Diceros bicornis minor: one gene and its partners. The protein of the gene in region 2 purifies or fractionates together with the protein of the main gene of each other region. This does not show direct contact. Links are inferred from orthologs where the notes say so. Each region holds a gene or a part of one and is shown on either strand. Other genes may lie near its edges.

Evidence for each region.
Region 1: the proteins of LRRK2 (region 2) and BAG5 purify together in Homo sapiens (co-immunoprecipitation; 3 studies listed by BioGRID and IntAct, with this or other methods). This does not show direct contact. The link is inferred for Diceros bicornis minor from reciprocal best matches to the Homo sapiens genes LRRK2 and BAG5.
Region 3: the proteins of LRRK2 (region 2) and SLC25A6 purify together in Homo sapiens (co-immunoprecipitation; 3 studies listed by IntAct, with this or other methods). This does not show direct contact. The link is inferred for Diceros bicornis minor from reciprocal best matches to the Homo sapiens genes LRRK2 and SLC25A6.
Region 4: the proteins of LRRK2 (region 2) and MYO1C purify together in Homo sapiens (affinity purification with mass spectrometry; 3 studies listed by BioGRID and IntAct, with this or other methods). This does not show direct contact. The link is inferred for Diceros bicornis minor from reciprocal best matches to the Homo sapiens genes LRRK2 and MYO1C.

The regions. Positions count from the first base shown.
Region 1 is NC_080763.1:48,214,808-48,222,370, forward strand, and holds the start of BAG5 (BAG family molecular chaperone regulator 5), read right to left. Parts: upstream 3,010-7,563; 5' UTR 2,697-3,009; intron 2,671-2,696; exon of another isoform or gene 2,209-2,670; intron 1,381-2,208; exon of another isoform or gene 1,306-1,380; intron 1,204-1,305; 5' UTR 1,176-1,203; coding exon 1-1,175. Other genes in the region: cytochrome c oxidase assembly factor 8, read left to right, coding at 3,106-3,228. UniProt on the Homo sapiens protein: Co-chaperone for HSP/HSP70 proteins. It functions as a nucleotide-exchange factor promoting the release of ADP from HSP70, thereby activating HSP70-mediated protein refolding.
Region 2 is NC_080756.1:28,440,850-28,448,208, forward strand, and holds the start of LRRK2 (leucine-rich repeat serine/threonine-protein kinase 2), read right to left. Parts: upstream 3,009-7,359; 5' UTR 2,592-3,008; coding exon 2,438-2,591; intron 2,172-2,437; coding exon 2,086-2,171; intron 1-2,085. UniProt on the Homo sapiens protein: Serine/threonine-protein kinase which phosphorylates a broad range of proteins involved in multiple processes such as neuronal plasticity, innate immunity, autophagy, and vesicle trafficking.
Region 3 is NC_080781.1:1,084,625-1,091,779, reverse strand, and holds the start of SLC25A6 (ADP/ATP translocase 3), read left to right. Parts: upstream 1-4,136; 5' UTR 4,137-4,224; coding exon 4,225-4,335; intron 4,336-5,352; coding exon 5,353-5,839; intron 5,840-6,532; coding exon 6,533-6,673; intron 6,674-7,155. UniProt on the Homo sapiens protein: ADP:ATP antiporter that mediates import of ADP into the mitochondrial matrix for ATP synthesis, and export of ATP out to fuel the cell.
Region 4 is NC_080757.1:16,228,938-16,236,382, reverse strand, and holds the start of MYO1C (unconventional myosin-Ic), read right to left. Parts: upstream 3,016-7,445; 5' UTR 2,838-3,015; coding exon 2,763-2,837; intron 1,978-2,762; exon of another isoform or gene 1,889-1,977; intron 1-1,888. Other genes in the region: INPP5K (inositol polyphosphate 5-phosphatase K), read right to left, coding at 6,304-6,363, 6,551-6,655, 6,824-6,907, 7,171-7,308.

The DNA of each region.
Region 1 (7,563 bases), on a different chromosome or scaffold from region 2:
TCAGTCCGATTTCCATCAAATGACAGAACTTCTCCCTGGATCTCTGACAAGCTCCCAAGGATGCTCCAGACGGCCTTATGTGATGGGTGCTCCTCACCAACAAACAGCTTTCTCTTCTCGAGGGCCTCCTTCAAGTCAATGTAGGTGATCAGAGTTTGCACTTCAATCACGGCTCTTCTCCTGGCTTCCCGGATGCAGGGGTTTTTTTCAAGACTTACCTCATCCAACTGTCCAATCAAACCCTGCAATTCTGTTTTGGAGCTCAGGTACAATTCAGAAGGATTTTGTGCTTGAAGAAGCTCATTTTTAATTTCCCTCATTCTCTTGAGGACCTTTTCTATTTTTAAAATGGAATGATTCTGTCTCAGGTCAAATGCGTGAGTAGTGCCTGCTTCCTCCTCTAAATCCAAATATTTCAATAATTTGTTGATATCTTCTACTACCTCCCTTCGGTAGTTTCTGATTTCTGTACGCCCGCACACATCTAAAGCATCCAGATCAGCCATCAGCCCTGAGAGCACACAAGACAAGTGCCTGCAAGTGTCGTTACTGTTCACCCCCATCAGGAGTGCAATCAGAGTGCCTCTGGCCTTGTTCACTTCACACATCACAGAGTTAATTTTGGCAACGGAAGGATGCGCATCCTCGGAAAGCGGCAGGGAAGGCTGCTTTTTCACGCAGTCTTCGATAATCTCTTGCACTGCACAGATTTTGGTTAAAGTGTGATACCTTGCTTTCCGCAAGGAGACCTTCCCTCCAGTTTTAACATGTGTCAGCCTCAGAATGATATCTTGGATGCCTTCTTCAAATTCATCTGTCACACAGTTGCCTCCACTATAAAATGGCACAATCTTCTCTTCCACCAGGGACTGGGCTTCTTTAAAAATGTTCTGTATTTCAATCCGGTGTGGGTGGTTTGCATTCTGCTCCAACTCTTTGAGAAGACGCTCTGTCTCTTGTGCTGCCCTCTTCCTAGCTTGCTGAATGTCTCCTTTTCCTTCTGTATCTACAGAGTCTATTTCAAAAAGTTGTTTTGTTAGAAACCTCTCCAGTTTCTTGTAATTCTTGTCATCTGACAGGCCACTGAAGCCAATTACTTGCTGTTCTATACTTTTCACTTCCTTTTGGATTTCCTGAAGCCTACTAATAGAAGGATGTTGGTTGCCCATATCCATACTTCTGTTGTGTTCAGTTTCACAAGCACTGAAAGATGACAAGAATGATAACCGATTACATCACAAAGTCTCTGCAAAACGGTAACTGTATATTAATTCACTCTAAAATTCTCATTTTAAAAAGATATACCTAAGAAAAAGGGCTTGTTATTATTGTAATCCAAATGACAGTCATACTCAAGCAGTGATTAACCAACTCCCTCTCCTGAAAATAATATAAACACAGCAGCGATTAAGAACAGACAGGGGTTACTGCAGCGTCCAAAACGACCTGGTGCTCTGGGCCTGTGAATTTCAAGTTTCTTCAAGTGTACAAGACGGTAGCATGTGTCTTCATAAGTACAGCATGAAGTTGAACTATCACCTTGGAAAGAGCACAACTATCTTAGCTGCTGACACTGGAAGCTGTTTTTCTGGCACCAGCAGGGCACCTTTGTGGAATGTGAAACAGTAGCTCTTCTAACCTTCCAAACGATACAGTACCACCTAAGCACCCCACCTGGCCAAAGAGCTATGCCTAGTTTCCAGAAAAAGTAACTCAAAGCGAAACAAATACCAGTGGTTCCCAGACACCCCCCAAAGTCCCCCTTTCTACATTCTTCTCCATCCCTTTATGCACTTCTACAAAGCTACCCTGTTTCTCATCTCACCCTTTTAGTACCTCACAAATCTTCTCTACAGAGGTATGGAATTCCACAGGAAACGCGACTGGGATTACATTAAAGGCACCATCTTGGGCTTTGGAGGCCCGAGTACCTCCCCATGCCTATCATGCTCCCCTCCTCCCCCAATACATCCCACAAAAATGTGACAACTATGAATAATTCATTCACTAGCCTCCCATTAAGAGTCCAGAATGACTTAACGCATTTTTTCCCTGCTCTTGGGTTTCTACCAAACAGCTCACTGGAAGGGGCTGGATAATCAATTGAAACCAATCCCTTGTGGGTGTTCGAGCCAAGAACGTGCCTTTGGAGGACAGGTTGCCTCCCTCCTCCCCTCCCCTCCTCACCCTTCCCTCCCAGCACTTTACCCGGAAGAGGTCTGAGCTGATTTGGTCTTGGCTTCCCGTAGGTGAGGTGGCGAGATGGAAGATCAGCCCTTTACGGGGTGCAGCACCGGAGATGGGCCCCAAGCAGCATCGCTCTCACCCCTCCCGGCTAGATCTGAACGGGGCAGCCGGTGAAGGGGCCGGCGGTGGCGGCGGCAGCTACCGGCCGCTGCGGCCGCTCTGGGCGTCTCGCCCGGGCCCCCACTACGCGCCCGCCGGCCTGACCTCACAATGGCCCGCGGGGAAGGGGGCGGCTGGCCCGGAGGGAGGGGAGCCCGGCCCGTAGGGAAGGGAGCCCGGCCCCGCCGGCCGGCGGCCCCATCGGACCCAGGGCGTGGGGGCGGCGCCGACGCCCGTCCGGGCAGAGCCGGGTGAGGCGCCAGAGCACAGGTCGCCCGCGGATGCCCGCGCCGAGGGGAGGCCGCCCCCGCGGAGGGAGGGGGCCCGCGCAGCCGCTGCGCCGCGCTCACCTGTGCCGCCCGCGCCATCGCGCGCTCCGCCGCCGACACCCCGCGACTCCGCAGCTCCCGCCGTCGCCCGAGCCCGGCAGCCCCGCCCCCGGGCCGAACGCCCTCCGCCCTTGGAAAGCGTCCTCTGGCGTCCGCGCCGCACCTCGACCCGCGCCGAGCCCGCCGCTAGCCGCCTTGCGCGGCAGTCTGTAATGGCCGCGACAGTGGACCAGCCGCCGGGTCCCCGTCCGCGCCGCCCCGCTGCCCCCGCAGCCCGTTACACGCAGGGAAAGAGCACTGTCGGCCGCGCCGCTCCCCACTCTTTCTCTTTCTCTCTCTCACACACTCTGGCTTTGCGACCATGCCGTAAGGCAGCCCTTCGCGCCGTCGCGACTCTGCCGTGCGTCGCGGGAGCCGGGAGGCGTGGGCCATGGCTGCTTTGAGGCCGGGGTGGAGGACAGCTCTCTCTCCTTTCTGCCGCGCCTTCACTGGCCCCCGCTATCAGCTCGCCCCCGAGCGCGGCGCTGAGCGCAGGGATGCGGCACCGAGCCGGGTAAGCGGGGTTTCCGGAGAGGTTGGGCCGAGAGGGGTGACCGCAAGGGGCGGTAGACCCGGGCCGCGCCCCTCAGGGGCACCTGCGTGCCCCGCTGCGGCGTCAGCCGAGTTCCCCGGGAGCAGCGTCCCCGAGCCGGCCTGGGCCTGGCGCAGAGCTGCGCACGCGCCCTGGGGGCACAGGGGCCTGAGGAGGGGACAGGGGTATGGAGAGTGGGGAGGCCCCGGGGCCACCAAGTTTCCTACGTCTGCCCCCTTGGTCTGATGGAACTGAGGGGGCTGTTGACAGAACTTTTGCTAGTAGAGCAGAGTCATCTAGTAAGTTTGTACGTACCTTATATCTTCTCGAGGATCCTTCTTATATTTGAAGAGCTCTTGAGGTGCACAGCGTGTATTTATTTTTTGGCTTCGTTGAGATTATTAGTGCTTTTTTTTCAAGCGATGTCTAACTTTATCATTGTATCTTGTAGGACTTCACGTTGAAGGGTTTTTCTTGTTTGGAAACTGTGTGCATATACGCACGTTACTGGCCGAAGATCCACAAAGATTAATGTCTGTAGCAGCAAAGAATGGCAAGCAGCTCTTATAAATTGCGTTTCTGTGGGGAAGGATGCTTTGTTTAAGGGAGTCCTAGGCCTGGATTCCAACTGACAGGAAAATGTTGACTAGCAGTGTGGAACGGGTTGCAGATAAAATATTTAAACAAAGCATACAAATACTAACACTTCACTTTGTCAACAGGCTAACGAGGGAGGCTGGAAAACCTGGTTTAAAGAGTAATTAAAGAAGGATGAAAAAGAGCCAGTTAAGAATTTCAAAATGTGCCTGCCTGTAAATTTTCATTTCTTTTAGTCTGTTGCTATTATGTTTTTATAAATGCGGCTTTGAAGTTCTGTCTAGTTTACAGTTTAGACAGGAAGTTACCAAGACAACTGGTCACTCAGGTCTCTGGCTCAGTTCCCTGTTACAGTGGCCAAAGTCCTGTCTTCTGTTCCTAGAGCATAGAAATCCACGCACATCTCAGTCTTTGGGCAGGAGGATACTCAACAGGTATCTGAAGATGCTCTGGGAGGCAAACTGAACATCAGCCAACTGTCTCCAGAGTAAGGACTTAACCTAGCTTATTTTGTTAAAAGTAAAGAACAGCACCCAAAAAAAAGAACAGCACCCAAACAAGGCTTTCTCTGTTGTCATACAGCCTTTCGTTAAAGTAAATCTTACCGTGGGTCTGATCCTCAAGATGAGACCTCTCTGCCTTTTGTGGTCCAAGTCACGAGGAAGCCAGTGCTGCGCACCTGTTGGACTGCCTAGACCTGTGAAGGTGATGAGTGTGATGAGGCTGAAGAGTGGAGCAGCTGATCCATGAATCACACCTTGCCCAATTCTAGCATCGTGACTTGTGTTGTTTTTTAGGATGTGTGCCCCATTATGCTAGATATCGTATGGAACATAAAAGAACAGTTCCTGCCTCAGGGCGGTTTGCGTTTCCTGGGTTTGGTCCCAACCTTGTGTGCTTCCTGGGTACAGGGCTGGTTCTCCAGGTAATTAAATTCCTGCAGCACAGAGAGATTGTTGTCTTCAGACTTCGGTTTTGAATATTAGGTCTTCTTAAAAGTAGCAGGTCGTAAACCTTTTGCTTTGTTTATCTAAATAGATATATTTTAATCCACTATGTCTAGTTCACTCTACATATTTTTCATTAATTCTTTGTCCTTTACTTTCTGACCTTTTAGGACCTACGCAATTTACGCCCATCTCTAATCTCTGGGTACCAGTTTTTAATAGAAAAATATTATAGAACTTAGATTTAGGCACTGCTTTTCCTTCTAAACTCAACTTAAAAATTCAGCTCTTAAATGTTCTCCAGCTATTTCATACCTGCTTATTCCTTATCTGTGTAGTTTACATCATTGGTTCTTGAACTTGTCTGCACATTTGGAATCATTTGGAATACTTGAAAGAATACTGGGGCCCACCCGCAGAAGTTCCGATGTGATTGGTCTGGGATGTGGCTTGGGCATCAGGATATTTATTCATTTATTTTCTTGGTTTGTCTAGTTCCTTGGCCCCAGGTTTAGTGAGGTGTAACATCAGGATTTTAAGGGCAAGTCTAATAAGCTCACAAGTTGGAGAACCAGTGGTTATATTATGTGCATTAACATTTGCTTGTAGTCCTGAATTACATTAACATTTATAGTAATAGTTAACATTTATTGAGCACTTGCATGCGCTGTTCTAAGAGTTTTACATATTTTCACTTATTTAATCCTCACAATTCTGTGAAGTAGGTGCTTTTATCATCCCCATATTACAAATGAGGAAACTTAGGCACAGTAAGATTGAACAATTTCCTCAAGGTTGTAATGCTTGCACATAAGGAATATACATGTTATGGTTACTCTATCCAGAGGATGATAAATAACAATTTTTCTTCTATTAATTTTTGGATCAAAAAGAACACAGAAACAGGCCCTCAGCAGGGAGAGGTAATATTTACAAGTAACAAATAATGGAACTACTGGTGTCATCTTTTGCTTACATTTTCATTAAGTAGAATGATCTTCAAACCCCCAAGTGTAGATTCAGAATAAACATCATAAGGAGGAAGTTGAAACTCAAGATAAATGAGAAACTGGTGAGAGGTCTAGTCATAGGATTTTAAAGTTAATTTGGATATTTCTAGTATTTACAAGGCTTTCCATAAATAGTTGGAAAAAATTAAAAGCTGGGGCGGGAGGACTTTAAAAACCATGTGGTTTAACTCCATTATCAGAAAGATGAGGAAACTGGAACCCAGAGAGGTAAAGAGACTTGTCTGATGTTACATGGCAGAGTAAGGATTAAAACTGAGTTCTTTCCATTCTCAGTCCAGTGTTCTAACGTTTCCAAATGCTTTTTCTGGGCCGGCCCAGTGGCGTAGTGGTTAAGTGTGCACGCTCCACTGTTGCTGCCCGGGGTTCGCAGGTTCGGATCCCAGGCGCGCACTGATGCATCGCTTGTCAAGCCATGCTGTGGCGGCATCCCATATAAGGTAGAGGAAGATGGGCACGGATGTTATCCCAGGGCCAATCTTCCTCAACAAAAAGAGGAGGCTTGGCAACAGATGTTAGCTCAGGGCTGGTCTTCCTCACACACACACACACACACACAAAAAAAATGCTTTTTCTTCATCTAGTGAAATGAGAATTACAATAATTTATTGATTTTCTTTTTTTGTTACTTATGGGAAATTTAAAACATGTACAAAGATAGAAGAATATAAAGAATTGCTATGCATCCAATACCCTGCTTCTACAGTTATCCACTTCTGGCTGTTTATTTCAACTTTACCCCCATCCAGTCCGTCTTCCCAGATAATTTTTTGGCAAATATCAGACTTCGTATTTCTTTTTTTTTTTTTTTTTTATAAGGAAGATCAGCCCTGAGCTAACATCCATGCCAATCCTCCTCTTTTTGCTGAGGAAGACTGGCCCTGAGCTAACACCTATTGCCAATCCTCCTCCTTTTTTTTCTCTTTTTCTCCCCAAAGCCCCAGTAGATAGTTGTATGTCATAGTTGCACGTCCTTCTAGTTGCTGTATGTGGGACGCTGCCTCAGCATGGCCAGACAAGCGGTGTATCGGTGTGCGAACCCAGGCCGCCAGTAGTGGAGCGTGCACACTTAACCACTAAGCCATGGGGCCGGCCCCCAGACATCATGTTTCATCTGTAAATATTTCATTATCCTTAAAAGATATGGACTTTAAAATATACATATATATATATAAACATAATACCAAGGTCACACCTAAAAATATTATGAAAATTCCTTAATTCCAGCAAAGGTCCAGTGTTCAAATTTCTTTGATTGTCTTAGAAACGTCGTGAATGTTTTCTTTTACAATTTGTTTGTGTCAGGATCCAGATAAGTTCTACACATTGCGATTGATGATTTTTTTTAATCTTTTTTTTTTCTTGCTGAGGAAGATTCGCCCTGAGCTAATACCTGTTGTCAATCTTCCTCTTTTTTTGCTTGAGGGAGATTGGCCCTGAGCTAACATCTGTGCCAGTCTTCCTCTATTTTGTATGTAGGTCACCGCCATAGCATGGCTGGTGAGTGGTGTAGGCCCATGCCCAGGATCCGAACCCGTGAACCCCAGGCTGCCGAAGTGAAGCACGTGGAACTTAACCACTATGCCACAGGGTGGCCCCTGATTGATTTTTTTTTAGTTCTCTTTTAATCTATAGGTTTTGATTCCATCTTCTTTCTTTTTTTAAGTAATTTATTTGTTGGGGTTGGGGGAAGGATGTGTCCGTTAGAATTTTCCATGGTCTGGATTTTGCTGATTGCATTCCCG
Region 2 (7,359 bases):
TTAAAAGCTTTTAATTGAGCACTTCCAGCTAATTCAACACATAAAGCATTAAAGAATATCTATACTAATTACATCAGTAATATGAAGAAATTTGAAGGATAAAAACCCACTTTCTTTTAAATGGAGTATTATAATATCAGTAGAAAGACCTCTTTCTTCATCCCTTTAATAAGACCACCGATAATTAAAATTGATAGTGCCATTATGCCTACCATGGCCACAATATTTGTACCAAATCATTGCACTTTTTACTTGCAATGAAAAGCTTGTGAATTCAGCAGCTAGGGAATTGTATGATGGAAAGAGATTTGGAAGACGTGAGAAGACTTGAGTCCTGGCTCTGTCCCTAGCTCTGTGATCCTAAATGAGCTACCTACTAAGGAAAAAATAGCCAGTGAGATATCTGAGAGGGCAGTGAGAGTCCAGTGAGAATCAAATGATGTAAGCTACATAATACTCTTTGCAGACTAATACACATATGGTGCTGAAACTATTCTATTCCATTCAATTACCAAATCAGAAGACAATTCCTCATTTTCTTGCATACTTTGTCTCTGGTAGTCACTGGGAAAAGATACTGAGTGACATTCATAACCACTCCAGACAAACATGCCCAGGCCTGGGCAGTTTCTAAAACGAAGAAGAATTAGGTAGTGGTTATGTTCCAGGCTCCTCTGCATTCTCAAGTCTAGCTCTGCCTCCTCTGGACTCTGCAGATCAAAGCCACCCAGGGTCCAAATGTTTTGAGTGGTATCAAGCAGGGGTGATTCTACCAAGCACAGAGTCCAGGGAATGGGGGCTGCCAGAGCAGGCACTTTTGAACACAAAAGCACAGGCAAGTAAGAAGGGATGATTTGGGTGGAGAGAAGCAAGCACAACGGGCCAGTGTGAAAAAGTGACTCATATTCCACGGGCAAAATTCAGACATTGGGTGCTAAAAAGAACACTGTCTTTATCAAGCCTTCATCTTCTCATGGTTTTGCATGTTAACACCCTAAAAATCAATAGTCAAATGGGAAATATTTCAGTTGAAGAAAAATAAAAGTAACCATTTATCCCAGATATAAATATACTCCCAGAAAAGAAGCTAGGTATATGGTTCACCCAAACTAGACATTGCTGGCTACAGAGATAAGCATAAAGACAAAGATAGATAGATACAGATTTAGAGATCCAGATAATTTTTACATCTGTCTAGACACTCAAGCATATATTAAGAAACATTGACTTTCTGACTGCACTTTGACAGAGTTTAAAGTTCAACTCTCTTTCCCTTCAGGACTTAACATGCAAATGACAGAACTGATTTCAGTTCTTTAAATCTCAAAATCTACAAAGGAAGTGAACACGATAGGCACTAATCTTGTTTTGACTGTAAATCATCCTTAATTATCATCTTAGGGCTCCCTTTTTAACATATCTAAGAATTTAGCAAATTTCTGGGTTTCCTATGAGGCAGATTCTAAATGTTTCACTTTTACATTCATTTTATATGAAAACAGTTGAAAAGTATAAATTTAAACTTATAGAAGAATCATAAAACATCACTTTCTTTAGATAATACAAGGTATACTACAACTAAAGAAGGCTAGAAATCTGTCTTCAAATTAAAAAAAAAAAAAAAGAAAACCCTGAAACCTATGCGAGTTTGCCAGTTACTTAATTTTATTTTTATTAATTTTATTATTGTTAACTGTTCTCCTTTCCCAAACTATTCACAATGCTGTCATCTCTAGGGCATGCTGTATATTGGGAAGAGTCTTAGATAATTTGATCTAAACACTGATGAACTCATAGCCAATAACGGAAAACTCAACCCATTATTATTCCTCTCACCACCATCCATATTTTGTCAGTTAATTGTATAAAGTTACTTCTTTAAGACAATTAGGGAGCACATAGTGGGCCCTTTCACACCGTTAACATTTGATAATGATTTGACAACGCTTCCGTCTTAAAATCAGTCAGCGGTTTGTCAAGCCAAATCTCAGAAACAATCCAGAACTCTGGGCATATAACACTGACAGAAAAACATCTATTTCCAAAGTGATCGGGGAATGGGCGAAATGAAAACAGCTCCTTTACCTGCTGCACGCTAGCGACTCTCATATACGAGTCCAAGACGATCAACAGAGGCACGTGGACATTTTTGCCTTGAAATATCTTGGAGGCTGGAAAAGAAAGTGGGTGAGGGAAAAGAAGCAAAGTCACGACTCACGGCCCTCCTTTTAAGTCGGAAAAGGGGGGGGGGGAGAAAGCAAAAGAAGTGAGCGCAAGACCTTTCTAGAATTCTCAGCTCCCTTCTACCCTAAGAAGTATAGAGTTGGTGGCTTCTCAAAAGTCCAGGCTTTGTGCAGCTCCAGAGTGCGGGGGAGAAAGTTTGCAACAGAGGCGGGGGGGAGGGGGATAAAGGAACAGTTTCCTTGGAAATGATTACCGTGGTCGGCGTACGTCAACACCAGCATATCCTCCAGAATTTGGACCAGCGTCTCTATCTGTTTTCCCTCTTGGACATTGTTCAGCCTGACTATCAACTTCTTCAGAGCTTCCTCGTCCTCCTCCACGCACCCCTGACAGCTGCCACTGGCCATGATGGACCCTGCTCCAAACCTGCCGCCCCTCCCGCACCAAGGCCGGCCGCTCCGGGAAGGGGCAGGGGCGCCGGCCGCTGCTCCGGGCCGAGCACAGCTCACCGCCCGCGGCCAGCGCTGCCCGCCAGCCCCCTCGGCACCCACGCCCGCCTGTTTATGAGGAAGGCGGCGGCTCCGCGCCCTGCGCTGCCCTCCCCGTCCCCGGGCCCTCCTCCTCGGCTTCCTCCTCCCCCGCTCAGGCCCCCAAAACGAGCTCAGTGGCCTGCGAGAGGCTCGGCCGAGGTACGGCGCCGTGCAGAACCGCGGTGGGCGGTCCGCACGCGGCGAGAGCGGGTCCCTGCGCGGGCCGAGACGGGACCCCAGGCGGGCGCCGCCTCCCGGGACCGGATCCCACTCGCCGCGGCGGCGCGGCCGGGAGTCGCGCAGGAAGAAACTGACTCCGCGGGCTCCGCCGCGGCCCCAGGCCCCGAGCCCTGCAGCGGCGGGAGGAGGCGCGCAGTCTGCAGCCCGGCCCGCCGCCCGCCGCCACCCGCCGGCCTGGGCACCTTCAGCCGCGCGGAAGGTCTGGGACCTAGGAAGAAGAAAAATTAAAGCCGCCGCCTATCTCCAGGTCTAAGAATGGAAATCAGGGCGTTGGGAAGAGAGGACGCCGCCCACTTGGCCCCTTTTAGGAAAACATTCTCTTTCGAGTTCCCCCTATAGGGAGATGAGTAATTTCCCCCTCAAGGATGGAGAGAGATATTAGCAATCAAAATGTGCTCAGCTAAATGTTTTTCCATGATTGCTGTGGCTCTTTGTAGAGGAGGAAATAAAAAATTGTTCCCTGTTATCTGAAGCTCTGTTGACCAAATTAACTTGAAAATCTGAGTTTGCACTCGGTAGGATCCTGATAATGGGGGCGCACCAAAAAACAATCAGTTCGTTCTTGGCGCTATTAAAACTAAGAGAAACACAACGTAAATGAAATGAAAAGGTGAAAGATACAAGCCTAAGCATTGTTCTCTTGGTATTCAGAATTACTTATGAGTCGCAGCGTCTATAACCCTCAAGTTAAAAAATAAGTACCAAAGTAATGTTTTTTAGGAAGAGAAACCAAAGCAAGCAACACTGTAGACAAGGCTGGACAAAGACGATCTATTGCCTAAGATGATCTGTCCTGGGGATCATTTACAAAGGAGATGACTGGACAGGAAATTAGTAGTTCACAATTTTAGATCGTTTGTTTTCACTTCTATTATTTCATTCTGATGACAATTCTGAAATGGATAAGACAACTACCAATATCCTTCTTTTACTAATGAGGAAATTGAGATTTGGAGTTAAGCGAAGAGCATTGTTGGAGTCACACAGATGGAAGGTTGAGAGCCAGAACTCAAACCCCGGTGAATCTCTTAACTCCAGTTGAAGGTTCTTTACACTCTACCACTTTAATCAAAATGAGCTAGGCTTCCTTAATACATTAAGTCAGTAAGATAGCAATTCTAATTCGACCTAGATATTGTGAATATATTTTGTTGTCATAAAGACTTTTTATCTTTTACAGACACATGCTAAAATATTTACAGTTGAAATGATAGAATGGGTAGGATTTGCTTCAAAGTAATTCAGTGTTGGGGAAAGGGGTGAAATGGGTGGAGGTAGAGACAAAACAATGCTAACTTTTGAATTGATAATTGTTGAAGATGGGTGATGGGTTCATGTGGTCTATGGTACTAGTTCCTCTGCATAAAATTTTCCATAATGAAAACAAAACAAAAGAAAAAATTCTCAACCCTGTCATCTTTATCATAGCTGCGGAATATCCTTCCTAACTGGTTTCTGAACTTGTTTCAACTTCTGACTAACCAATCGATATCTCAAACATTCCTAGGAATGTTCCCTTTCATGCCTTCCTTCCCATTCCTCTGCATCAGTTTCTCCTTCTCTGTCTACTGGATTATTATCTTGCAAAAAATCAAAACCTAGCTCCCGTCCAAAGAAAACTAAATCTAAGTAAAAAGGTATCTCCTCTTTTCCTCAGTTCTTTCACCCATCCACTGCCTATTCACTGTCTACTCTATATTAGCCAGACTGGGGGTAGGCGGTGTGGAAACATGAATTCTCTGTTGGGAGCATTCTCTCAAACTACTGCAGTAGTAGGGCAAAGTATCCTCTTAGCTTTCAAAAATGTTTAATTGATTGATTAAAATCCCAAGACTTATTAACTCTTCAGATAGTTAACAAGACAGAAAAGGAAGGCTACGGGCACAAATTCATGATAGAGGTAGTGTTCAGTGGAGAATAAAATAGTGCTGGAACATTAGGCTAACTTCCTGGGAAGAAAAAAATAAAATGGACATTGCTAATTACAGCAAACACCAAAACAAATTCCAGATGGATTAAAAAGTTAAATGAAAATAACTTAAAAAGAAAATATAGATTGATAGTTATTTAATGTTGGTATGAAGAAACATAAAAAGTAAGAAAAAAACAACAGAAGATTGGTACATGTGACTCCATAAAAATTTAAATTTCCTGCAAAGAAAAAACATGAAAGTAAAAAGTAAATGGCAAAGTAAAAGTAAAAGAAAGTAAAAGAAAATTGCAATATATATGACAAAAAAACAATTAGCCTTAATCTTTCAAAAGTTCTTACAGATCACAGTGGGGTGTGGGGGAAACAACACCTACACACTCCATAGATACCCCAGGAGAAAAAAGGACTAAAGTTTTGAACAGGAAATTCACTGTGAATGTACAAGTATAAAAAAAGTATGTTCATAATTATACAAAATTGTGTTCCTAAACATCAGTAACATGCAGTTATAAAATGTAATTGTATGTGTGTGTGTCTGCACACAGTAACAACAATGAGGAAGAAAGAGAAAACTTGGGACCAGATCTAACAAAATATTTTTAAAACCTTTGTGAAGAAATTATTAAACTGTATTAAAAGGCATTAACAAGGCATAAATAAATGGATAGATGATATCAATTAACAAGAAGATTAAATATCAAAAAGATGCCAGTTCTCCACAAAGTAATAAAAAAACAATGCATGTCTAATGAAAATCTCAGCAAGATTTTTTTATAGCTTTCAACAAGAGCGAAGGACCTAGAACAACCGAGACACTTTTGAAGAAGGAGGAAGTGGGAAAATTGCCCAATTAGATCTTAATTCAGGGCCTGTACTAGCCTTTGTCGATTTCCCAGAGGAGGAAAAATTGTCTGACAATGTCTTTCTGTGAATTAGAAAAATGTGCCCCTCCTTCCAGGCAGACACAGCCCTGTGCTATGGTGTCCAAAGCAGGATTTGGATTTCAGACTCCACCCATCCCTTCAGCCTGATGTCCTTATGCCAGGCATAACTTGTCCAACATATGAAGCAGTGTGTTGAATCTTACTATGAAGCTATAAAAATTTATCTGCATATTATTGGCACAGCTATACAAAATGACCAGTGAAAGAGTACAGAGAACCCAGAAACATACCCTTACATATATGGAAAATATATATGAGAAATGTTGCATTGTGTATCAGTGGGAAGAGAATGGACTATGTAATAAATGAATCTGAGACCAATGATTGTAGGAAAAACATCAAATCATACCTTTACCTCACACCATATAAAAAAATAAATTCCATGTGAATTGAATATTTTTATATAAAATGAAACTAAAATTTTGGGGGGAAAAATGACCTTTTTATGACCTTCATGTAGGGAAAGACAAAACATAAATATCACAGTCCATGAAGGAAAAGATTGTTAAATTCAGATAAGTTAAAATTTAAAACTCAACATACAAGAGACTCCATCAACAAAGTTAAAAGATGACCGCAGGCTGGAATATTTTTGCAACGTATATAACCCACAAAAGAAGAATAAGAATATGTAAAAAGAACTATCACAAATTATAGAGGAAAATATAGTCTAATTTTTTTTTTTCTGAAGAAGATTGGCCCTGAGTTAACATCCGTTGCCAGTCTTCCTCTTTTTTCGCTTGAGGAAGATTAGCCCTGAGCTAACATCTGTGCCAGTCTTCCTCTATTTGGTATGTGGGTCACCACCACAGTATGGCTAATGAGTGGAGTACGTCCACGCCCGGGATCCGAACCCATGACCCCAGGCCACCAAAGCGAAGCACGTGGAATTGTAACCACTTGGCCACAGGGCTGGCCTCTAAATAGTCTAATTTTATATATAAACAAAAGATATAAAAGGCAATTTACAGAAGAGGAAATGCCATTAAATCTATCAAAAGATGCTCAACTCCGCTAGTAACCAGGGAAATACAAATTAAAGCCATAATGCTATACCATTTCACAGCCCTCAGATTAACCAAAAATTTAAAGTTTGATGATACCAATGATTGGCTTTGATGTGGAGCAACTAGAATACTTATACAAAACTGGTGGGAGTGTAAATCAGAATAGTCACTTTGTAGAGCAGTATGGCAATATCTAGTAGAGCTGAAGATATATGTATCTGATGACCCAGCACTTACACTCCAAAAACATTCCTTGGAGAAACTCTCACATGTGCATAGGGAAATTTATATAAAAATGCTCGGTGCAACATTTTTTGCTTATATTGAAAATGAAAACCACTTGAATATTCATCAACACTTAAATTGCATATATCCATATAATAGACTTGTATAAATCTGTGAAAATTAATGAACTAGAGCTCCATGTATCAACATGACTGAATAGCAAAAAATATAATACTTGGCTTTTAAAAAGTTGTAGTAGGATATATATCCTACTGTGATATCAATATTCTAATGCT
Region 3 (7,155 bases), on a different chromosome or scaffold from region 2:
AGGACGTGCAGCATGGATCACGCAGGGGCTGAGCTGTCCGGTGTGGTGCCTGCAGCTCACCCGTGTGAGAGCAAAGCAGAGACGCTCACGGCCCCTCTGTCCTTGTCTCCCAGGTGGACCTGCAGAGCGAGTGGCCAGGAGAGCCGAGCGCCTCACCGGCCCCGCCCCGCCTCCCCGGGCTGGTGCACGGCTGCTGTGCTGGGTGACAATGACCCGGGCACCTTGGCCACCGCAGTCAGCCTCCTTCCTTTCCCGGGGGAACAGGCTGAGTCCTTCAGGTGCCCCTGTGGTCCCCGTGTTCAGCCAGGCTGAGCAGAAACCCGGGGCGTCCCCAGTGGGAACAGCGACTCAGGTCCAGGGCACATCGCACACCTGCTCTGCAGCCCTCGGGGTGCCCGGAGCTGTCTCAAGGTCACTGGGTTTCTCAGAAGCAACCAAGCGTCCGTCTCAAGGTCACCCGGTTTGTGCCTCTAACCAGAGGTGCCAGCTCCCCTGCCCGGGGCACCCGAGCCCCCCCAGCCCTGGATGCAGGGAGCCGGACGGGCTGGGGGCAGCGTGGCTGTGCAGTCAGCCCCGACCCCCGGACCCCAGGAGTGGCCGACCCTGAAGTCCCACACCCATGACTGTGCCCTTGAACCAAGGACCCACCCACCCGAGGGAGACCCCCGGGCCTGACAGTGAGGGCCTGATGACACGTGAAAGCCGACGGAGGGTCCGTGGGGTCCCCAGACCGCCCACTCCCCCTGTCTCTGCTGGACTTGCAAAGAAGTGAGAAAATATGAGTCCTCCACGACCCGTGTTTGCATTTATTAGAACTAACACCCAAAAACAGTGCTTTCAGGAGATGGTGGGAGAGAAAGTGAGTGTGTGTGTGGGCCCCCATACAGGTGTTTATTCTTTAGGAGACAAGATTTCAAGCTTGGAATTCTGGGCTGGGCAGCCTGACCGGACCCCCGCCCTCCAGGCAGAATTCATTCATTCCAAAAATATTTCAGCACACACTGCATACGGTACAGTCTAAATGCATTACTGGCTGCAACATCAGGGGTCGGGGATGGGGGAAGGAGCTAGGACAAGAGACCGTCAGGACCACACCCGTGTCCACAGCGCCCCGGCCCCTCCCCTGTCCCCGTGGGTCCTCATCTTTCGCCCTCCCGGTGCAGCCTCATGACACCCCACTAGACCACGTCACACAACGCAGGACTGGAAGGAACTGCCTGTCGACTAGGACAGACTCCCCGGGCCCAGCTCACAGCACGTACCCCCCAAATCCCTCCTCACCTCGATGACTCACCCCCAGGGGTCAGCTGAAACCCTGAATCACCTCCCCCGTTTCTTTCAATCACCCACCCCCTTCTCAGATGCTCTGGGGTGCAGATTCAATCAGATCACCTGCTGGCCCAGCCACAGCTCATCTCTCACTCCGTCCGAGCGCCACCGAGGGCTGGGTCTTGTCTCCTCGCTGCTGGGTCTTGGAACTTAAACCCTTGGAGGAGACGCTCCCCACCTCCGCTTCCCACTCACCCCACCTCTCCCTTTCCAGGCCCAGGTGCACAGTCTACCTGGGCTCTCCCCTCCCAGGTATACGGAGATCTCGGATTCCGGCGTGCACAGCCCCGCCACCCTCCCAAATCAGCCCTAGTGGGGCAGGGGAGCCATGACTCGCGCGCGCACGAGTTGCCCACGGGCAACACTTTCTACAGAACACATTCTGAGCCCCAGTCAGCGATAACAGGAAGAGACCACGTTCATTCATTCACTCATTCACTTGTTCATTCGAGAAGCATTCCCCCAGCACCGTCCTGAGGCCAGGCACAGGCGGCCAGGGACCCCCGGGCGCTCAGAGGAACCAACACACATCATACTGGGCTGAGCGGTGGGGTGGCAGCCAGGAATGCAGGCGGAGCTCGGGGAGGGGACGTCCCCACGCCTGGGGCAGGGGAGCGGGTCACTGAGTTAACGGCCCCCCCAGCACGGGAGGAATGTTCCAGTGTCCCATGACACAGGCTCTGAGACAGAAACACTGGTTCCAGGGCCTCACCCGCAGCCCCGGCCTGAGCAGATGCCAACCAGCTGGATCCTGAAGGAGCAGCTTCAGCTGGCTGGCCCCCGCTAGCCCCGTGACAAGCCTCGCCAGGGTCCCTCCCCATCACTGGGGTCCCTCCCGGCCCAGCGAGCTGATCCCGGCAACAAATGAACAAGAGGAGATGCTTTTCTCCTCTGAGACACGGACCCCTGAGCAGACATCTCGTCCCCCCACACCCCACGGCCGCCCTCTGTCCTCCACTCCAGAGCCCCATGGGGGCTGCGGGCGTGGACCTCCAGGGACTTTCTCTGCCCCTCTGTCCCGGTGAAGCCTCAAGAACATGCCAGAACCTCCAAGGCCCTTCCAACAGCAATGCCCCCAGGGCCAAGACGCTGACACTCCTCCCTCCCCCACAGCTAGACCACCCTCTGCACCTGGGCAGCCCCAGGCACTGCCCGTCCCCTGCTTCTCCCTGGAGGTCAAGACCGGACTCAGGAAGCCATGGTCAAGGACACGGGAGACTGGGGAAATCACCGGCTCCCAGTGCCCAAGGCTCTTCTGGGTGCTTCCCAGGCCTCCACCCACCCGTGAACCCATTGCCAGGGGGGTTTTACCTGCTGGTGGGGACGCAGGAGACCAAAAAGAAGCAAAGGGGGCAGGGAGAAAAATGAGAAAGGGAGGGAAGAAGACAGAGACAAACAGCGGGAGAAAAGAAACGGGATTCTGGCTCCCCGGTTGCTACTGAAGAGCTATTTGGTGCTCCTTACACCGTGTTCAGTTCGCGACGGTTACGACCTGTATCACTTAGTTACAATTCACTAAAAAGTCTGCAACATTTCAAAACACCTCGGCCTCGGGAGCGTCCCTGTGCATGTCTGTGTGTGCACGAGCATGTGTGCAAATGCATGTGTGTACACGCGTGCATGAACTTGTGTGCACGTGTGAGGGTGTGTATACGTGTGCATGAAGTGTGCATGTGCGCGGGAGTGAGCGTGCGCACGCGTGGCGTGTATGCACGAGCATAAGCGTGAGTGCATGCGTGTGAGTGTGAGCATGTGCCGGGCAGCACACGCCCTCCTGCCCCTCCCGGAGCCCCCACGTCGCAGCGCCCGGAGCGCCACCCGGAGTCCCGCCATGGGGTCAGGGTTCCGGGGCCCCCGCGGGAGCTGGGGTGGTCCCGGGGGGCTCGCGCAGGCCCCGCGGACGGATAGGAAGAGGGGCCGGGGTCTCCCGGGCAGGGGGCGAGCACGGCCTGGAGAGCCGGGCCGCGGGGGCACGTCTCGGGGGGAGCGAGTGTAGGGGGTAGGAGCGCCCTGGGGGTCGAGGGTCCGGGGGAGGGGGGCTCGGCCCCCTGCTCTGGCCCTGCGGGTCACGGCCGGGGTCCGGGGGTCAGCGGGGCGAACGCGGAGGTCACGACCACGGCTCGGGGGTCCGCGGAGCAAGCCCGGGGGGTCACGGCCGGGATCCGGGCTCAGCGGGGCGAAACCGGAGGTCACGGCCAGGGCTCGGGGGTCGGCGGGGCCAGCCCGGGGGTCACGGCCGAGGTCCGGGGGTCAGCGGGGCGAAACCAGAGGTCACGGCCAGGGCTCGGGGGTCGGCGGGGCCAGCCCGGGGGGTCACGGCCGGGATCCGAGATCAGCGGGGCGAAACCGGAAGTCACGGCCAGGGCTCGGGGGTTCGCGGGGCCAGCCCGGGGGTCACGGCCGAGGTCCGGGGGTCTGCGAGGCGAGCCCGGTGGTCCGCCGGCCTCCCCTACCCACCGCCGCCGTCTGTCGCCCTCGCGCGGGCCCGGCTTGACCTTGACAAGGTCACGGCGTCCGCCAAGCCCCCGACCCACAGGGCGCATGGGCGGGGCCCGGCTCCCGACATGCCTCGCGGCGCGGAGCGCGGAAGAGGCGGGGCGTAGTCGGCGCCACAGCCAATGGGCACGGCGCGCGGGTGTGCGGGGCGGGGCGCGGCGCGGCTCCCGGCAGCCTGCGGGGGCGCGGGATCCGGGAAGGGGAGGGGCGTCGGCGCGCGGCGCAGCCAATGGGCGCGGCGGGCGGGGGCGGGGGCGGGGCGTCGGCACCTTAGCGGCTGCGCGCTGGCCGCCCCGTCCTTTCGGTCCCGGCGGCGGCAGGGCTGAGCCAGCGGCGGCTACCCACGGCTCTCCGCGTCCCCGTCCGCTCTCCGCCCGCTGCGCCGCGCGCCCCGCCACCATGACGGAACAGGCCCTCTCCTTCGCCAAGGACTTCCTGGCCGGAGGCATCGCCGCCGCCATCTCCAAGACGGCGGTGGCCCCGATCGAGCGGGTCAAGCTGCTGCTGCAGGTGCGGGCGGCCTGCGGACGCGGGGGCCAGGGCCTGGGCGCGGCGGAAGCCGGCCGGGCCGGCCACGGGCACCGCTCCGGCGGGCGGCCGGGCACCGGAAGTGGGGCGCCGCGCCGCTTTGTCCGCGCGCCTCCGGCTTCCGGGGGCGGGCCGGGCGCGCGTCACGTGGGCGCTGCCGCATGGGCGGGGGTGGAGCCGCGGGCGCGCACGCGCTCTCCGCGTCGTGGACGCCTGCGCGTGCGCTTGGAGTCTGGCGTGCCGGGATGCTGCGGCGCTGGCCGAAGGGCGCATGCGCGCCTGCTGGCCGCGTGGACAGACTCTTTGGTGTGGGGGGGGCGGTGCCTTGGGCGCGCCACGGGGTTCCTGCTAACGCCCTTTGGCGTTGGACGTCGGTTCTTGCTCCCCCTTTTATACTCCGTGTTCTGAACCAGAATAAACTATCATTGTGTGTTGTTACAAATGTTGCAAGCTGCTGGAAATGTATCGTTCTGGTGGCAGCATTTGTTGCCTTAGAAATGTATGGCTCTGATGGCAACATTGTTGCCTTAGAAAATGGATTGGTCTGATGGCAACAAGATGGATCGCTCTGATGGCATCATTGTTGCCTTACAAAATGGATCGCTCTGATGGCAACATTGTTGCCTTACAAATGGATCGTTCTGGTGGCAACATTGTTGCCTTAGAAATGGATCGTTTCTGGTGGCAACATTGTTGCCTTAGAAATGTATGGCTCTGATGGCAACATTGTTGCCTTACAAATGGATCGTTCTGGTGGCAACATTGTTACCTTAGAAAATGGTTTGCGCTGATAGCAACGATGTTGCCATGTCTGTTGGCAACACTGTTGCAGCGACAAACAGTTACCGAGTTAAAAGAACTGGTGTTTCCAGATGTGAGGTCTCTGGGCAATTCGAAGTCCGCATGCACGAGCTAGTCTTTGGAGCGGACATCTTCAGTGGGGGTCGTGGTGGGTGTTAGAGAAAGGCCCCCGTGTGACCCGCCCCCATCGCCCCTCAGGTGCAGCACGCCAGTAAGCAGATCGCGGCTGACAAGCAGTACAAGGGCATCGTGGACTGCATCGTGCGCATCCCCCGGGAGCAGGGCATCCTGTCCTTCTGGAGGGGCAACCTGGCCAACGTCATCCGCTACTTCCCCACGCAAGCCCTCAACTTCGCCTTCAAGGACAAGTACAAGCAGATCTTCCTGGGCGGCGTGGACAAGCACACTCAGTTCTGGAGGTATTTCGCCGGCAACCTGGCCTCTGGGGGGGCGGCCGGAGCCACCTCTCTCTGCTTCGTCTACCCCCTGGATTTCGCCCGGACCCGCCTGGCGGCCGACGTGGGGAAGTCGGCCACGGAGCGGGAGTTCAAAGGCCTGGGGGACTGTCTGGTGAAGATCACCAAGTCTGACGGCGTCCGGGGCCTGTACCAGGGCTTCAACGTCTCCGTGCAGGGCATCATCATCTACCGGGCCGCCTACTTTGGCGTGTACGACACGGCCAAGGGTAAGTGGGTTCTCCCGGGCTGCTGACACGGCGCCGCTGGCCGGGGGGGCTTCAGCAGCTGACACTCATGTTTTCCCCGTTCTGGAGGCTGGAGTCTGAGACCCAGACGTGGGCAGGGCTGGTTTCTCCTGAGGCCTCTCTCCTTGGCACGTAGACACCCGTTTTCTTTCTGTGTTTTCACGTGGTCGTCCCCCTGTGCATGTACATTGTTGATGTCTATATGTCTTAATTTTGCCTTCTTGTAAGGATGTGAGTCTTATTGAAATAAGGTTGTGCTATATCATTTCATTTTATCCTGATTATTTCTGTAGAAAATCCGGTATTCAGATACAGTTCTGTTCTGAGATCTTGGGGGTTGGCAATTCACTGTGATTTTTTGAGGGGGCACAGTTCACCTGTGAAAGTAAGCCCCCCCGTCAGTGAGGGCCCAGGCCTGCTGGCACCTCTACAGCAGAACGGCCTCAGGTGTGGCATGTCCACTGTCCGAGCCTCGTGCATCCGCTGCTCTGGAGAGGCCACTCCCAGGTGCTCTGCTGGCCCCTGGGCCAGTCCCACTGGAGCTTGCAGGCGGCTTCCCCCTGTAGCTGACCCCACTGTGACCTCTCCAATGTCGCCTGGTCCCGGGAGCTCCGTGTGGAGCCAGGGGGCGGCAGAGTGCAGCTGTGGGGCCTAATGCTGGTGGTGACCCTGCAGGCATGCTCCCCGACCCCAAGAATACCCACATCGTGGTGAGCTGGATGATCGCCCAGATGGTGACGGCTGTGGCGGGCGTGGTCTCCTACCCCTTCGACACCGTGCGGCGACGGATGATGATGCAATCGGGGCGCAAAGGAGGTATCTTCTCTCGGGGCTGGGAGGGGGCTGGGCAGCGGGAGGTCAGAGACGTTCTCGTAGGGCCTCGTGGCCTCAGCCTGTGGGATTCTGGGGCCATCGGATAAGGAGTTTCCCAAGGTGGCCTGGCTTAACAGGAGGCTCTGGTCGATGGCAGTGACCCATGTCCAGGCAACACTGGATCCGGTTCCAACAGCCTCTTTTCTGGCCTTGCCTGCAGACTTGTTCATGCCCGTGTCCTGGGTCTGCCTCCCTTAACTGTCTCTGGGGCGTCCACGGGCCCTGAGTGGACCAGGAGTTGGAGGTGGGGTTCTGTGGAGGAGTTCTGTGTGTTTCATCCCCACCCCCCAGCAGTAGGCCCAGTGGGGCTGTGAGCAGGGGCACTGGGCATCCAGAGCCTCCTTTCCCGCGGTTCTGACTCCAAGTTGCCCGGATGGTGGCATCCGAGGATTAGTCTCCCTACCGTGTCTTTCGTGGTTCGCCTC
Region 4 (7,445 bases), on a different chromosome or scaffold from region 2:
TCCAGCAAAGGCAGGGATGGGGCAGGCCCAGGAGACCTGGGTCATCCAGAGCCCTTTACCTAGTGTGGGCCAGGTGCACCCAAGCCTGACCTCTGGAGGAGAGGGGAGGGCAATGGGCAGCCTCAAATGTTCCCCCAGCCCAGGGCCACCCAGGCCTTGAGAGGGTATTCTGAAGACCCCCAGATCGCTGCTATAAGCTGATTTCCACAGAGGCAGCCTCATGACCTGTTGGGGCAGTGGAAAGAACCCTAGCCTCTCTCACCTGCAGCGCAGTGCTGGGTGCAGAACAGGTCCTCAATTTATCTTTGTCGAATATATCTTAGGTCTGGGCCCAGGCTGCCCCACCAAGGACTGTTCTAGACTCAAGGGAACCGTTGTGAGGGGCAATGGGGAGGAAAAGTGGGGCCTTAGGGGCTCTACCTAATTGCTCACAGGACCCCAGTCAGGGGCTGTACACTCTAGCTTCGGAGCCATGGGCCTTTGGCCTGCTAGACACTTCTGCCTGGGGGTCCAGCAGAAGTAAACAGAGCACCTTGCCCCCTATCCTTCTTGTTTAATATCCTGTAGGTAGAGAGAAGGGAGGCACCTCCAGCTAGTCATCACCACCTGACCTCAAAAGGCCTGTCCTGTCCCTCCACTCCTCACACCAAGAGTCAACACTCGCCAAACCCCCCACCCCCTGCTCCTCCATCACTGCTCCACTCCTGACCGGGCAGCAGCCTCCAAACTGGCCTCCCTGCCTTCCTCCTCCAATCCATTTCCCCACAGCAGCCTGTGGTATTTACAAATGCAAATCAATCAATTAACATCTCATGTTAATAGAGTGAAGGTTTATAGGGCACCGGTCCATGTGCCAAGCCCATGTGCCGAGCCTGTACTTCACACCCACTGCTTCTTGCCAGGCCCCTGAGTATAGACTCCAGCAGCCCCCTCTGTCCTCAGTTTACCCCCCTGCTCCTGCATTCTTGTGTGACCATAGGGGTGGCCCTCTCCAGTCCCTTCTCTCCCCATGCCTCCCTCACCACCACACAGAGCCAGGAGAAGCTGCTCCCACCCCTGCCACCAGCCACATGTGGCTCTCTAAGCTTCTTGCCTTTGCACCTGCAACTTCCTTGGCCCAGCGCACCCTCCCTCCTCCCCACCTGACTGACTCTTAGTCATCCTTGAAGACTCAGCTCAGGTATCACCTCCTCCAGAACCCCTTCCGACTATCCCCAACACACAGCCCCCTCCTTATCGCTTTGCGCTCTAATCGCCGGTTTTCTTGTGGGTCTCTCCCAGTAGCCTGCTCCCGCCCGGAGCGTACACCCAGTCCGGCACACAGTCGGGGCTCAATAACCCCTCGTAGACGCCTGCATAAATGAATGAATCACAGAGCCCGGGAGTGTGAGCAGGAGGCCGGAGCGCGCTGGGAGTTGCATAAGGCCCTGGGCCAGCCATTCATTCTCTCATTCATCTCGGAGGCCCCCATCTACCACACTCACGCCGAGGCGCGCAGAAGCCACTGGCGCGGCTGGGTCCGGGGGGCGGAGAAGGGGAAGGGGCGGGGCTCGGGCAGCTTGTGCGGAACCCAGAGGCAGAGCCTGGCTGGTGGAGGGGCCCAAAGGGCGCGCAGGGTGCCTGGGTCCCGGGACCCCAGCTGCTCCTTCCCGCCCTCACGTTACCCGCAAGTAATCTAAGTCTCTACCCGGCCTAGTTCCGGCGCCAGCGGGTCCTGGGACCACGTACGGCCCGGGCCGAGCCGACCCTCGGCCCCAGCGACCCCCGCCTCCCGCACGGTAGCTCGGCGCCTGGCCGCCTGCCCGTTGCCCCCATCCCACCCGCCAGCGGAGGCCTCTACGGGCCACGCGGCTGCTGGCCGCCCGGCGCCCGGGCCCCGTGTACCCACCGTCTCGGTTCTTCGCGTGCGTGGGCGGGGGCCAGGCTGGGCGGCGTGGCCGGCTCCCCAGTGCTCGGCCCTGGCACGCTCTCCCCGCCCAAGGCCCGCCCGGGGCCGGGCCGCTGCCTGTCGTCATCCCGGGCAGGGCCCAGGCCTCGGCGCGCGCGCGCGCGCGCGCTCCCTCCGGCCCCGCCCGGCCCTGGCGGCCCTGGCCCTGGCCCCGGCCCGCGTCCGCGGAGACTTGGTGCCGCACACTCCGCAACCAGCTCCTGGGACGAGGCGCGTCACTGTCACACACACACGCGCGCGCACCCCCCTTCCAGCCAAAGACCCGGCCCACTCGCTGCAGTGTTGGGTGGGTGGGTGCATCTGATGGCTTTCTCTCCCTCCTCATTCTAGGGCCCCTTTGCATCCCCAGAGCAAACCCGACCCTCCCCTGCGTGCCAGGCCGGGTCAGTTCTTGTCCCTTTGTGACTACCTCCCTTCACTCCCCCCTACCCCCACCCCGCTACTGCTCTGAGTTGGCCAGTCCCAGTTCTTTGGGCCAGACGGAGAAAGGCGAGACATTAACTGAGCCTGTACTATGCGCCTGGAGCGCATAGATCCTTTGATCTCAGAGCAGCCCTGTCACCAGTTCATAGCCCCCTGAGGATCAGGGAACCAGAGGAGAAGGGGTTCAAACTCAGATTCCTGCTTCGAAAAACCCTGCCCCTAGTGGTGCTTAAACCCTCACCCCTTCTTGTCCAATCTGTTCCGGTCCCACCAAGGATCAGAACCCCTCCCCACTGCTCACCACTTTCCTGAGGGGTTTGCTTAAGAGGGGCTACTGGGCCCTGGGGAGACACTGCCACCCTTCCTCCCAGCCCAGAGCATCCCAGCTTACAAGCTTGCAGGGTCTGTGGGGATGAACCACGCGGATGATCTCCCCGGTGGGTATCAGCTCCACTTGCAGCGCCATTCTGCCTGTGGATAGCCAGCGTGCAGAGCACTGGGGCCTCTGAGCAAAAGCTTGCCTGCCTGCTTGCCCACTGGCTCTGGCTGCTCCCGGAGCCAGGAATCTGGTCTCACGCCGGGATGGCCACTTGGTTCAGCTTCAACTCCAGCCCCAGGGGATGTGTCTGGTCCAGCTCCTCAGGACACAGCTGGAGCAGCCCAGGTCTGATTGGGAGGCCTCTTGGCCCAGTGGGTTGGGGCAGGAAGAGGAGGGGCTGAGGGATGGAGGAAATGCCTGTTGTCCCAGGTAACCAGAGGAGCTGATGCAGTGCAGCCACCGTGGGGGACCCTGGGCTCCAGGTCAAAGGGTAGGAGGCTTTTCCCCCCAGCAGCTCCATGGCTGGCCTCTCTCGCTGCCCACTCACTGGTGAAAGCTGGAGAGCACAGTGACCACTCCCCAAACCAGAACGCACATCCTGCCCTAAGCCAAGAGGATCCATCAATAGGCACTGCCCCTCCTGCATGCTCCCCAGCTTGCCTGCCTCCCACAGCAGCAAGTGAGCCCCTTGAGTTTGAGAGGCTAGGGCTGGTGGGGGATGGCCATGTTGGGCAGAGGGGTTTAGCTGGAGAGGCAGGGGACACTCTGAGGAAGCCCCTGTCCCACCCTCCTCTGGAGCCTCAAGCGCTTGGGAGGTTGGTCCCTGGGTTCCTTGGCTGTGGGCAGCCTTAGCTCTGTTCGCTTCTTGCTTTTCCATAGTACCCTCATGTGCCCCCTAACCAGCATGTTCCTGTTTTTCTGTCTTTATTGTTGCTAAATCACAGCTGACACTTTCCTGGCCTGGGACTGAGCCCTCTAGTCTCCAGCCATTCCTTATAGGAAGTGAGAAGGGGGAAGTGGATGAGGGAAAGCAACCTTTCCAGAGGGAGACACTGGCATAGGAGGGGCAGAGGCCAGTGGGCCTCTGCTGGTCTTGACAGCCCCTCGGGCAGGCATCTTCCCCCAGGCACCCTTCCCTTTCCTCCCCACAGCTTCCCCCGCCCAGGAAAGGCCAGCAAAGCTTCCTTCCTTCCTCCGGGAAGCACATCTATCCAAGGCAGGCTCATCCCCGGCAGCCACACAATGGCCCTTATCAGCCTCGGAGCCAGGCGCAGAGACCCAGCACACACGGAGTCTCACATATTTCCTGTTTCCACCCAGCGGGTCATGGCTGGGCCCAGAGCGGCCATATCCTGACTGGGGCCGAGAGGAGGGAGAGCACTCCCCCTTCCCCTTCCGCCTCTCAATCACTGCTGCACTCACCCCTCCCAGGCAAGGAGCGCCCTGCAACAGGAGGCGGGGTAGGGGTCTGTGAAGACTTAAGGGGGCAGGGGAGAGGTGGGCACGTGGAGGACAAAAATGCTCCACAGCAGGAGAAACGGGGGAGCCCTGGAGTCAGAAGCCCTGAGACCCAGGCCCAGGGCTACATTAATCAGAATGAGGAGGTAGGTATAGGATTGCTCTGTGTTTTTTGCAATTGTTCTCTCACAATAATCTTGTGAATAGGTTCATTATTTGTACTTTACAGACAACTGAGACTCCTATGTGGATAGAGATGGAACTGATTCAAACCTAGGTCTTGACCCCAGTCCTGTTTCTGGTCCTGCGTAACACCACAGCTGCCTGTGTAACTCCAGAGGGCTCATGCCACTTCTCTGAGATTTGGTTTCCCCATCTGCCAAACAAATGGTTGTGCACGTGAGAAGGAATGAGGTGGGCAAGTGCGAGGGCTCAGGGTTCCTCAGGTGTGTGTGTGTTGGGGACAGGGAGAGAGATTACAATGGGAACCTCGGGGTATGGGGATCTGGGGAGAGGCGGCACAGAGAGAAAAGATGGTGACATTTTTGGATAGCTTAACCCAGGACCAGTGGTCAAGACTAAGGTGTGAGAGAGTGACAGGTAAGGAGGGATGGACCAGTGAGAGCAGAGTAAGCACCTTTTCTGAGTTCCAAGAAACCCATTCTATTTAGCAATGGAATAAACTAAGTGCCCAACAGCATAGGTAGCATGCCCCAACTGGGCCAGGGACCCAGAGGGCCACCATCCCAGAACCTCATCTCATTCCTACCCAGGCAACATCTGTCACTCGCAGACACAGAAAGTCTAGTCTGGATCTACAGGGCCCTCGTCCTAGAGTCTAGCAACGGCCCATCACCATGTGCCCCCTCCCACCACCATCATGAAGGAGTCACAAACAAGTGTAAAAGCCATGTTTCTAATTATGCCCCAATGCAACAGACACAGAACACAGACAGCCACGGCCCTCTAAAGCCAAGGGGACAGTTCTAGATGGTACCCACAGCTCCCAGGGTGGAGTATGGAACGTACAGCAACTGGAGTGGCCCTGTCTCAGATCATAGGATGGGCATGACAGTCACAGAGCGGGCTCCCTGAGGTGTCTTCTCCTGCGAGAAGGGCTGTTGAGTCACCAGTGGCTGGAGGCAAGTGGTGGGAGTGGGGACAGACCTTGTCCACGCAGCACCTGGAGAATGCTCTCTGAAGACCCCCAGTGCCAGATTCTCCAAAATGTCTTGATTCTGGCTCTCCTCTCTGCCTGCCCCCACCTCTAGGTCCCAGAGCAGTCTAGATAGGTTTCTGGCCAATGACTGCAGGCAAGGGTACAGGCAGATGAGCTCAGCTGGGCAAGGACTATCTTGGAAAAGCCTGTGGCCACAGCTCCTCTACCACCTGGCCAACCCTTCACAAGAGGGCAGGTTGGGGGCATGGAGCCTGACCCACCAGCAGAAGTGAACCTGGGTCCAATTCTCTGTTCAGGCCCTGGAACTTTCTGGTTCATACTCCATGGGGGCGAGGGGGTGCTGGCAGAAGGACGCTCATCAACCTGTCCACAACCCTACCAAAGAGCCTGGGTGGAGGGACCCCTCATCCTGCCCACTTAGTCATACTGCTTCTGCTGAAAGCAAGGATCCCAGACCCTCTGCCCATCCCTCAGGGGGACAGGCAACAAAATGCCAAGACTCCTGGAACCCAGTGCTGCTTGTGCTAACCAGTCTATGGAGCCTGTACAAATGTATCTCCCCCTCCCAGGCAGCCTGAGGCCCAGGATGGCGTGACAAGAATGCAGGCCTGTGCCAGATGGGGCATGTGCCTGGCAGGCCTGCTTGGGCAGGACTAGAAGTGTGTGGGGGGAAAATCAAAAAATGAGATGCAGGCTGGAGGGTCTTTCCCACATCTGGTGGACTGTCCACAAGTCTTCACTGTTGACAAACTAGCTGGTTTCACTCACATCTCAGTACCAAAAACCTGTATTTAAGAGGCTGATTCTAGAGATCTAGATTGGAGAGAGCAAAGGAGTGTGCTAGAGCTCCCCCTGGGAGGTGGAGGATACTTGCTCCCTCTTCAGAGGGCTGGGCTGGGTCCCCAATGCTCCTGGCAGTGGTAGGCAGAGCTGGCTGCCAGCTCTGGCCTCCGCCCTGGATTCACTCGTCCCAGCTCAGAACTGTGGTTGGGCTTCATCCAGTAGATCCTCCCCAAAGAGCGAGCGAGGCCAGATCTGCAGGAATAAAGCAGGTGGTGAGCGGAAGGGAGAAGAGCAGGCTCTCCTCCGTGTCATCACTCCATTCCCCAACTGATGCGGCTCCACCATGTGGGCTGGCTCCTAGGCCTGTGGCCTCGGTGAACTGATGATGGGCTCACATCATCTGTGATACCCTTCCCCTGACCCCACCAGCATCTCCTACCTTGAAGGGTTTGCTTATCCCCACCACAGAATGTAGACTGTTGCTATAGTAACAGAGGAGAAACTGATCCTCAGTCTCTGGGATATCGCTGATGTCCATGTATACCTGGAGCGGGGGATGGACAGGAATGGGGTCAGCTCCATGGTCCTGGGCCCCACCCAGCTCTCAATGACAAGTTATCCAGCTCTCTATTCCTTCCAGAAGACAGGAGTGCTCGGGCAAGCCCACCTGCTGGAAATGTGGAATACCTATCTCAGGAAGGGAGGCAGGTACCTGGTTCAGCCCGACGCTGAAGGAGATCTGGTTGTCCCCGACCCAGACATAGGACACGTAGTCATTAATGTGGCGCAGTCCCACCTGTGGGAGGGAGGGTCGGGGGGTCAGTGGTCATGGAGGACGTGGGACCTACGGCAAATCTGAAGGAGAGGGTCGTCTCATTCCTAGGGCTGGCCATCATATTGGATGCCTCTCTCTCCTTCACTGCCAGCCTCTAGGTGGGCAAGGACCCCTGGGGTGGACAAGGGTGAGTTCAGTCTCTGTGCCCAGTTCCCGTGAGCCCTCAGGATGGATCAATCAGAGGGGTGTGGCTCAGGGACTCCCTGCCTCGCCTGCCACATCACCTTATACAGTCCAATCCAGTCCCAGGGGCTGCTGAGGAAGCCTGGGGTCAAGGAGTAGCTGATCAACGCGTCCTTCTCCATGGTCCACAAGCCCTCGGGCATCAGGGTGATCAGTGGTGCAGATACCAATGGCTTCAGCTATACACAGGGGTGGGAAGGGGGTTGAAATTCCATAGCATCATTCCCTTCTCTGAGGTGAATGTCTTTACTGTACCCTTCCAATAGGTCAGGGTCAGTGGGGGGAGGAGGGGCACCCAGCGGGGTGGGCACAGAAC